Linked DNA regions of Arabidopsis thaliana. The protein of the gene in region 1 interacts with the protein of each later gene in a pairwise test. Each region holds a gene or a part of one and is shown on either strand. Other genes may lie near its edges.

What was found. Proteins that work in one complex are often made in the same cells at the same time.
Region 2: the proteins of RAV1 (region 1) and AT5G49420 interact in a two-hybrid assay, tested with the Arabidopsis thaliana proteins (one large-scale study listed by BioGRID).

The regions. Positions count from the first base shown.
Region 1 is NC_003070.9:4,539,975-4,544,544, reverse strand, and holds RAV1 (uncharacterized protein), read right to left. Parts: upstream 2,378-4,570; 5' UTR 2,160-2,377; coding exon 1,125-2,159; 3' UTR 575-1,124; downstream 1-574. UniProt on the Arabidopsis thaliana protein: Binds specifically to bipartite recognition sequences composed of two unrelated motifs, 5'-CAACA-3' and 5'-CACCTG-3'. May function as negative regulator of plant growth and development.
Region 2 is NC_003076.8:20,033,959-20,038,038, forward strand, and holds AT5G49420 (MADS-box transcription factor family protein), read right to left. Parts: upstream 2,248-4,080; 5' UTR 2,213-2,247; coding exon 1,208-2,212; 3' UTR 1,155-1,207; intron 958-1,154; 3' UTR 714-957; downstream 1-713. Other genes in the region: AT5G49430 (WD40/YVTN repeat and Bromo-WDR9-I-like domain-containing protein), read right to left, coding at 3,380-3,575, 3,654-3,712, 3,920-4,080.

The DNA of each region.
Region 1 (4,570 bases):
TTTCTTTCTTTCTAGTCTTTGGTATCAACAAGTCTAATAATTTTCACTAAAGCTACTGCTGTGTTACTATTTGAACACAACTTGAATTATGTGTGGATGTGTGTTATAGACAAAAGTATACGTAAAATTGCGTGGGCATTTTTAATTGTATAATAGGATTTTATGCTATAATGGAATAATGTTATAGTCCACCGAATTGTATCGAAAGAAAGTGCATATGAACGGAACATTCATTAGATCAATGGTCAATATATTCCTTTATGTAGGTACATAGTAATGTATGCGGCAGGTGTACTATTATCATCATATGTTCAAACTCTAACGCATATACTATATACCATTTCGTAAGAGATTAACAGAGTTTTAATGTTATTCGTTTTAACCATCAAATTCCTTCGAAATAAATAGCTATATATACCTAAGTTTGTAGAGAATCTGAAGATACTCATAGTCGCAGCCAGCGAAAGAAAGAAAACTAAAACACTTTTAGAAACAAATATCTAGATTGAGTTAAGCCGAAAAAGTAGTAGATAGAATTATAAATACATATATATTATTTAACAGCAACATGAATCTCTCTACCAACACAATAATTTCTGAAGCTTAAAATAATATCTTGCAAAAGCTTAAATAGCATTCATTTTAAAATATCTTTCTCTTTGGTTATTTGTATCGGAGTATGGTCTATCATATCATCATACGATTATATACGTTTACAGACCCTGCAAACTTTTTCTCTTTTGGTTGGAGTTATTTTATAAAATTACGTACGCATAAGTCATAACTCCTCAAATCTATATACAAAAAGCAGCAAATACCATAAGCAGTAGCTAATGCATACATATAAATACGAGTTCCCATACACATAAAATGAAAAGAAACCAAGGTAAGATTTGGTAACAACATTTTCATCATCTCATGCTAATAAAACTCTTGAGACATATCTAAGTAACCCTTTTTAAAATTTATCCTATAAATAAAATTTACAGTTCATCAATACAACAAAAACAACTCATGAACCTTTGGTAAACAAGAAGAAAGAAACCGATGCAAATAAAGAAAACGAAAATGGAGTTTTTAAAAATTATTAAAACAACAAAAGAAAAAAAAAAGAAGAAGAGTTGTTACGAGGCGTGAAAGATGCGTTGCTTCTTGCTACACACCAACGATAACATCTCAGTATCGTTCACTCTTTTGTTTCCTACGACGTCGTTTCTTGAACTCTCCGGTGAAATGTTAACTCCGAACAATCTCAAAACCCGACCCGCATCTAAATCTGACCCGGATCTCGACTTCCACCCAATGTACAACTGTTGATCCTGACCGTTAGATCTACTGAAACTAACCACGTCACCAGCACGTAGATTCTTCTCCTTAACGAACCTGCTCCAACCTTTAGTCAAAACATAACTCTGACTACTGTTCCAATACGAGTAACGGAACCTCCACACTTTCCCGTTAACGTCCTCAAAGTTCAACAACACTCCTTTCACGGAAACGTTACTTGACGGTAACGGAAAATGTTTCTCTGCGTGATGTTTCGGTATAACCAAACGGTTTAGCTTCCCAACGTCGCTTGGCGTTACCGCTTTCTCAAACAGTGCCTCCGCCGATCTAAACCCCGTCGTAGAAACACCATCATTACTCAACCCCGACGTTAACAACGTCCTAGTCATGTTTCCGTTACCATTACGACGCCGTTTACTCTGCTCTAACTCTTCGTTATAAGTATGTTTCCTCAACATATCAACGATCTCAGATTTCGAATGAGAATTCAAGAAATCGACCTCGTCTTCGTCCATCTTCACGTCTTTGAAATTTGTGACGGCGTCACGGCGACGGAACCTGTGAACCGCGACGTCGTAGGCACGAGCGGCTTCGTCTTCTTCGTTGAATGTCCCGAGCCACACGCGCTGGTGTTTCTCGTAAATCTGAGCTCCCCATCTTCCGTTTGGTTGTGGCACCACACCTTTGTATTTTGACGACGGAAGCTTCCTAGATTCAGCTTCTACGCCGTTCTCTGAATCTAACACAACGCTTGATCCGCTTCCCATCCTGTATAAGTTACCTACCGACGACTTTTTCGCCGGAGTTATCGCCGGGGTTTCACAGATGGAACCTGTACTTGTAGTACTCTCATCAACGCTACTCGATTCCATTTAATCTGTGTTTTTTTTTATGGTTTGAAACAATGGAGAAAACAGAAATGTGTTTGTGTTGTGTTGTGAATTATGTTGTGTATATGTATACGTGTGTGTGTATAATATATATAGAAAGAAGGAGAAAGAGCTTGGGGGGAGGGAAATAAGAAACAGCAAGTGTCACTTCTGATATTATTATTTTATGTTTCACTTTTTATTTGGTAATAACAAAAAATATATTTGTAAGAATGCGTGTTTGAGGGGAGTAATTATAGTATATGTGCAGGTGCATGGGAAGTAAGATGGGTGTGTATGGGTCAACTCAAAGAACACAAAGGAAGCTTCGTGGAAACATAATGAAATATACGGCATTTAATTTAGGTTACTATATTAGGGTCTATTTCATGAACTGTTGATGTAACTTATAGAAGAAAACACACGAAGCAATAATAATCCTTATAATAAGTTAGTATTTTATTTATGTAAGAAAAAGAGAAAAGAGAGTATAGGAACAAATATAGAAATGAATATGTTGTGGGCTGTGTGCATGGGGAAGTGGGACCCATGTGTGGGCCATGGAATGGATAAAGGGTCCACGTGAGATATTGACATCATTTTAGTGAAGTTCATCCCCCCTGAGTTTTGATGCTTAAAATTTTAATTCACTATAATACTATAGTAACGATAATAACTATATGAAAAATAATAAAATAGAAAGTATTAGATTTGATAACCATGTTCAGATCCTACCGATGTTAAATGGTGTCTCTCTTTAAATTTTTTTCTCTTCCAAATCTGATTGTTATTCTTCACTCTTGAATGATATTATTATTGAAAAAGCTATAAATAGTTGTTTAGTCATGAACTCATGATATATATCTTCTTTATTTTCCATTTCCAGGTTTTTATTCTTCTTTCTATAATCTTATCCTACGTTTCTTTTTATAGAAAAAATGTGTATTGCTATGAGGATTATTGTCCGTATAATATATGCACTCGATAGATTCCAATTCCAAATTCATAAAAAATCTCTCTTTTGTTGTTCTTGTAATTATCCCATTTTATTATATATATATATATATATTTGGTATCAACATTTTATTATATTTGTTTCTCATAAGTGGGTGTATGTAATGTAAAAAGATTTTAAATATGTCTTATATATTTATAAGAAATACTTAGCCAACGAGCGACCGACATCATAACAAGTATTTCTACTGGTCAATAGAAATCCAATTAAATCAGTTGCCTTCAGTGTGTGTGTTTTACTCTTATAGAGAATAAATACGTAAGGATTTAACGCCATAAATTGTTTGCATTATATAATATGGTTTGAGGACAATTAACAAGTGATGTGGATAGCTTACGATCTTATCTGATATATTTGTTGCTTTGCAAAAGTATTCTTCTACCCATTAGTTAGGTTTCATTTTTTATGCAAAGAGCCAATTAGAGAACTGCGAAATATCGTGAGATTCGACTTTTATTGGCTCTCCCTGCTCCAATAGAAAATGTTAACGATTTATATCTCCTTTTTATATCTATTAATTGATTTGCCGGTTTCTATTTGAATTCTTGTAATTATTTATTATAGTATTTATTATCAATTTGATCCACTAGGATGGGAAGTGGGCCAATGACAAATCACTAAGAGGCATGGTCGTACGTGTCTTGTGTGGATGAATAATAATATGGGCATTTCTTGACAGCAGGACAATTACTTTTGTCTTTTTTCGTTTTTTTCTTTTTAAGTTAAAGAGGCATTGCTCAAAATACCTAGGCGCTAATTAGTGTTAGGATTTTTTTGTTTCTTAAGTTTTACCACACATTTTCATCAAAATATATATAAGTAAATTGGCATTTAAGCCCATATGAAAGAAATAAGTGCTGATCAACTTTAATTGATTTTGTTAAAATCAGTGTGGTAGAAAGTAGTGACTGTGTAGATTTATAGACAACACAATAATTAGATAATCACACTCTAATCAAATTTTCAAATTTAAAATCGTATTTTTATGTTTTAAAAAAACTTAAAATGGTTCTAAGTATATCATATATGGGTGGGTATGCGACAAAAAGAAATAGATGGTTGTATTTTCCTTAGAAGAAATTGAGTATGTTGTCACGTGGCACTTGTTGCTAACTCAGCTTTCTTTTCTCATGGAATTTGTCTCCGTAAGAGAGATTGGGCTCATCCATGTTTCTTTTATGATTCTAAGTATTTGAGCTCCAAATTGAAAAATTGGTTTTGTAAGTGATACATTATTGAAGTTGTGTAACCTCTGCTTACAAAAGAGAGACATTTTCACCAGTACACTTTCATTGTTTTATACTTTTGATTTGATCATATCAGAATTAGTTAGTTTCTTCTATACGTTTTGTAAATTTTGTTTGGAATTTATATCATTGCATATTTTTATAGATATTAC
Region 2 (4,080 bases), on another chromosome or scaffold:
ACCAGTTGGTTAACTTTATGTATATAATCGAAATTTCACCTGATTCTGTTGTCATATTAAAAAGACATGATGATACACTCCTGGAAGTGGATCTATACTCCAAGGACTCACTTTGTTGGTTTTGAATTGGAAATGATGTAGTTGATAGTGAATAATGGATTGATCTTAATCAAAGCGGTGGAAAGACGATGAATGGGGATGGCGACGAGATCGAGTGGATGCAGCGGAATGAAAGGGGAACGAATTGTACTTCCAAGAGTGATGAAAGACTCTTAGACTACGAGCTTGGATCCAACTTAGATATTACACACTAAGAAGAAAACAAGTTGAAAAGATACTACACACTTTTCAGATCAAACAAGTGAAAGAGAAAGTTTTTGATTAAAATGTTTGATGATTACAAATGAGAACTACAATGAGTTTATATAGGAGAGGAGGAAGAAGGGGAAGAGGTGAGAGAAGAAAGACATGCAAGAGCATGCACAAGTACACACTCATGCAAAGAGTTTTGGAAATAACAAAAACAATAAATGCAAAGTTTGAAGAGAAAATAGAAAATGGGCCACGGCATTGTGAGTGGGCCTTGGACCACGAATTGAGCTGATAAAGGGAGGCTTGAAAGTGTTCCTTAGGCCTCATTAAAAACCTTGTCAAGAAAACCCATTGGGACAAAACTTGATAAGGGAAAAAGAATGCATAAGCAACACTTAACCCTTTACCGAGCCTCTTGAGCCGTGATCACTATGAAGGAGGATTGAGTCACGTCTTCTTGATTCTTCTTTAGCTCCTTGAGTAGTCCATTGATAGCTTGGTTGAACTTCTTAGATTTTGATCTTGTTAGAGGACCCGCCAGAACGATTAATGCTTCCTCCGGTACAAGCTGCTTCTCGTCTTTTTGTGGTTCAAGTGGTTTGGTTGCCTTGGTCATGTTCTCATCGCATGAGTTTGGACTTGAAACTACAAATACAAAACATAGAAACAGAAGACAAATATTATCATTAAACCAAACTGATGAAGCAGAGAACCAGTTTGATTTCGATCAATTTCCCTCATACATATATGTATGGAAAACTGATCGAGGTCAAACCAGACCCTTTCATTCATTACATTGCTAAAACATATCTGTAACCAAAATTAGCAGAATCAATACATACATATAATAAAGAAGTAACTAGAAGTTAGTTTGAAAACTGCAGAGAAATTATCTTCAAAGTGCTGAAATAGTGTTTGCAAAGTCTTTGAAACAATCAGAGAATCGTAGATTATCTCCATCCAAACATCTCTGAAAATAAGAAAACGGAGTTAGATCCACCGAGACTTGATCATCAACAACAGCGTTCAAAATACTTGCACTAATCTCCTGATGAGTAGTGTTGTCCGAAAACCAATCATTTAGCGCGCTCTCAAAAGGCGTGTCGAAGCCAATGTCTTGATCGTAATCCAGGTTCATTTCAGGTAAAGCAGCGTTGTTATCCATAACACAAAAAGTTTCACAAATCGAGCGAATCTGATCTTGTTCTTCAGTGATCTCATTGAAATTTTCAGGTGAATTATCAGGGACGCAACAAATTGCAGAAGTACTCGACTGAATATTTAGGGTTTGATTTGGCTCTTGAGTAATCTCGTTGAGATTTTCTGGGATGCAACAAATTGGAGAAGCGGACTGAAGAATTAGGGTTTGATCATGAGTTTCGTGGTCTGAAACAAAATCGCACTTGTCGTTGTTCTTCAGGTCCTCGCGATCATTAACGAAAGCTTGATTACAGGCTAAAGCTTCATCCGCACGCAATTCCTTGAGATTCCTCAACAGCGTCCGCATAGAGTCGATCGCTTCACTAATCTCTTGAGGATTCTCCGATCTGGCAAGGCTCTCGTCGTTCCACCAAAAACCTAACCCTAGATTATTGCGAGTCAAACAGATACCAACGTCCTCCCTCGTCTCTTTGTTATCCTTCGGAACAGGACGTTGTCCGGAGAGAAAAGCAGAGACAACGGCATCAACAGAGGAGTGACCGAAAGAGTAGAAGGATACGTTGGATTCAGAAGAAGGAGGAGTCGCTAAGATAGCGATCTGTGCGTCTGAGAGAAGACAAAGCTGAGAGGCTTTGCTATAGAGACCTTCACGGCGTTTGGTGCAGGTAACCCTAAGGGAATCTCTCTTCTGTATCGTCTCAATCGCAATCTTCCTCTTCGTGCCACCTTTTTTCACCATTCTGATTGATTTTTCTCAATTTTGTTGAGTGTGGAGAAAGATAATTGAAAAGTGAAGGCTTCTTCTATCTCTCAGTCTCATATATATAAGGGAAATATCGAAACCCCATATCAATATCATCCACCTAAACCGATTAAACCACATGGACCGTAATCTTGTATGGGCTAAGCCCAACTATCCACCAGAATCCTTTTTTAGTGCAGTCTTATTTATTTTTATTTTGATAATTTTTAGTTATTGTATTATGATTCAGATTTATTTGGAGATATTTTTATTTTTCAAAAAATATTATTTTGCTAGATTCTACAAAAAAAATTTTGTCAGATTATTATGAGAGAGACAAACAAATATATAGCTGGTTCTTCACATTATCGTGTTCATTCTTTCTGGTTCTTCACTCCTTAAAATGTGGCTATGGAGTTGACAAAGGTGACCTGGTAGCAGAAGAAAACTTTGTTAAAGACCTACTGAAAAACAATAGTCCATCAAATAAAACTAACAAAAAAGCCTATCAGCTATCCTAAACACACAAAACTCAAAATATCAATACCAAGAAGAAACAATTGTAATTGGTGACTATAGAACAAACCTTGAGAGAGGGTCATCAACATATAATCACTGACTGATTTCATTGGAGCTTAACCTTGACAGTGTTTCAAAAACACCTAGCAATATCTATCACTCAGTTTACTACCACTGTCTAGAGCAACCAAATCGTCCAGACTTTCTATAAAAACGTTGTTTCTTAGTATTCATCAATTTTTTGTCAAAAATATTTGCAATTATACTGTTTTTGTCTTGATCATCTATTGTAGACTGGATATTTGCACATGTAATGTCAACAATTTCATCTGTTGTTGTACCATTAGCAGAAAAAGAAATGATTCTCAAATTTGGGGTTGGTCAGTCAACAGAAGATGATTCCAAAGCATCAAACGTTTTTGACCTCTCCTCCAATTTCTCTTTACATACAATTTCAAAAAGAAAAAGATTATCTCCAACTAAACCCTAAACCTAAAATTTTCTAACTGAAGGAAAAAAAATCCCCTAAAATTCTCTTCTGCCATTAGAACCAGAGTTTTTAAAGAATTGCAGGAAACCTAACTAAATAATTTGGAAACATGAGAAAAAAAAACATCAGTTTATCTACATAGGCGCGATGATAAGCTACGAAGAAGGTAGCGTCCGGTCGAACCAGTTAGAGAGATTTGAGATTTTGGCTGCTACACTTTTATTTCGACCAAAGAAAGTCTCTGCATTGGACAACATAACTGATACGTCGTGTCGTAATGCTTCCACACTTCGGTAATAGTTGTTCTCAAGCCTTGATCTGATTACTTCAAGAGACAAAGGAACTGGGAACCTGCAGAATGAATCCATAGAACAAAACCATGTCAGCTTTGGCTCCACCAAAGACTCTTCCAGGGTTGTAGAAATTTACCTGTTGGAGTAGCTGGAATTTCCCACGGTCTGGTTCAGTTTTCGGAGGCCAAAAGAATCCTGAAACAAATTAGCCCACATTATATCAATATTGTTAGTTCTTGGGATAATGTTGTGTCTTAATCCACTAAGCTTTAGAATGTGATCTATAAACCAACTAAGCTAATGTAAACATGGGCCTAAGCTCTTTGGGTGAAGTCTGAATTTGGTGGGGAGGATAGGCTAGATTTAACACCATGAGATATTATATTCATTAGGATCACATACCTGGGTTCTCTTGTCTGAAGTCTCTAACTTTGTTAAGGCCGAGAGCAAACGGTTTCGTTGCTCATCATCAATGTGAGGCTGCTCCCACTTGGTATCTGCATCAAAAAGCTCCCAGGGACTGTGAAGATGTGTCTCGGCAGGGTCACTCTTGTACTTAACTG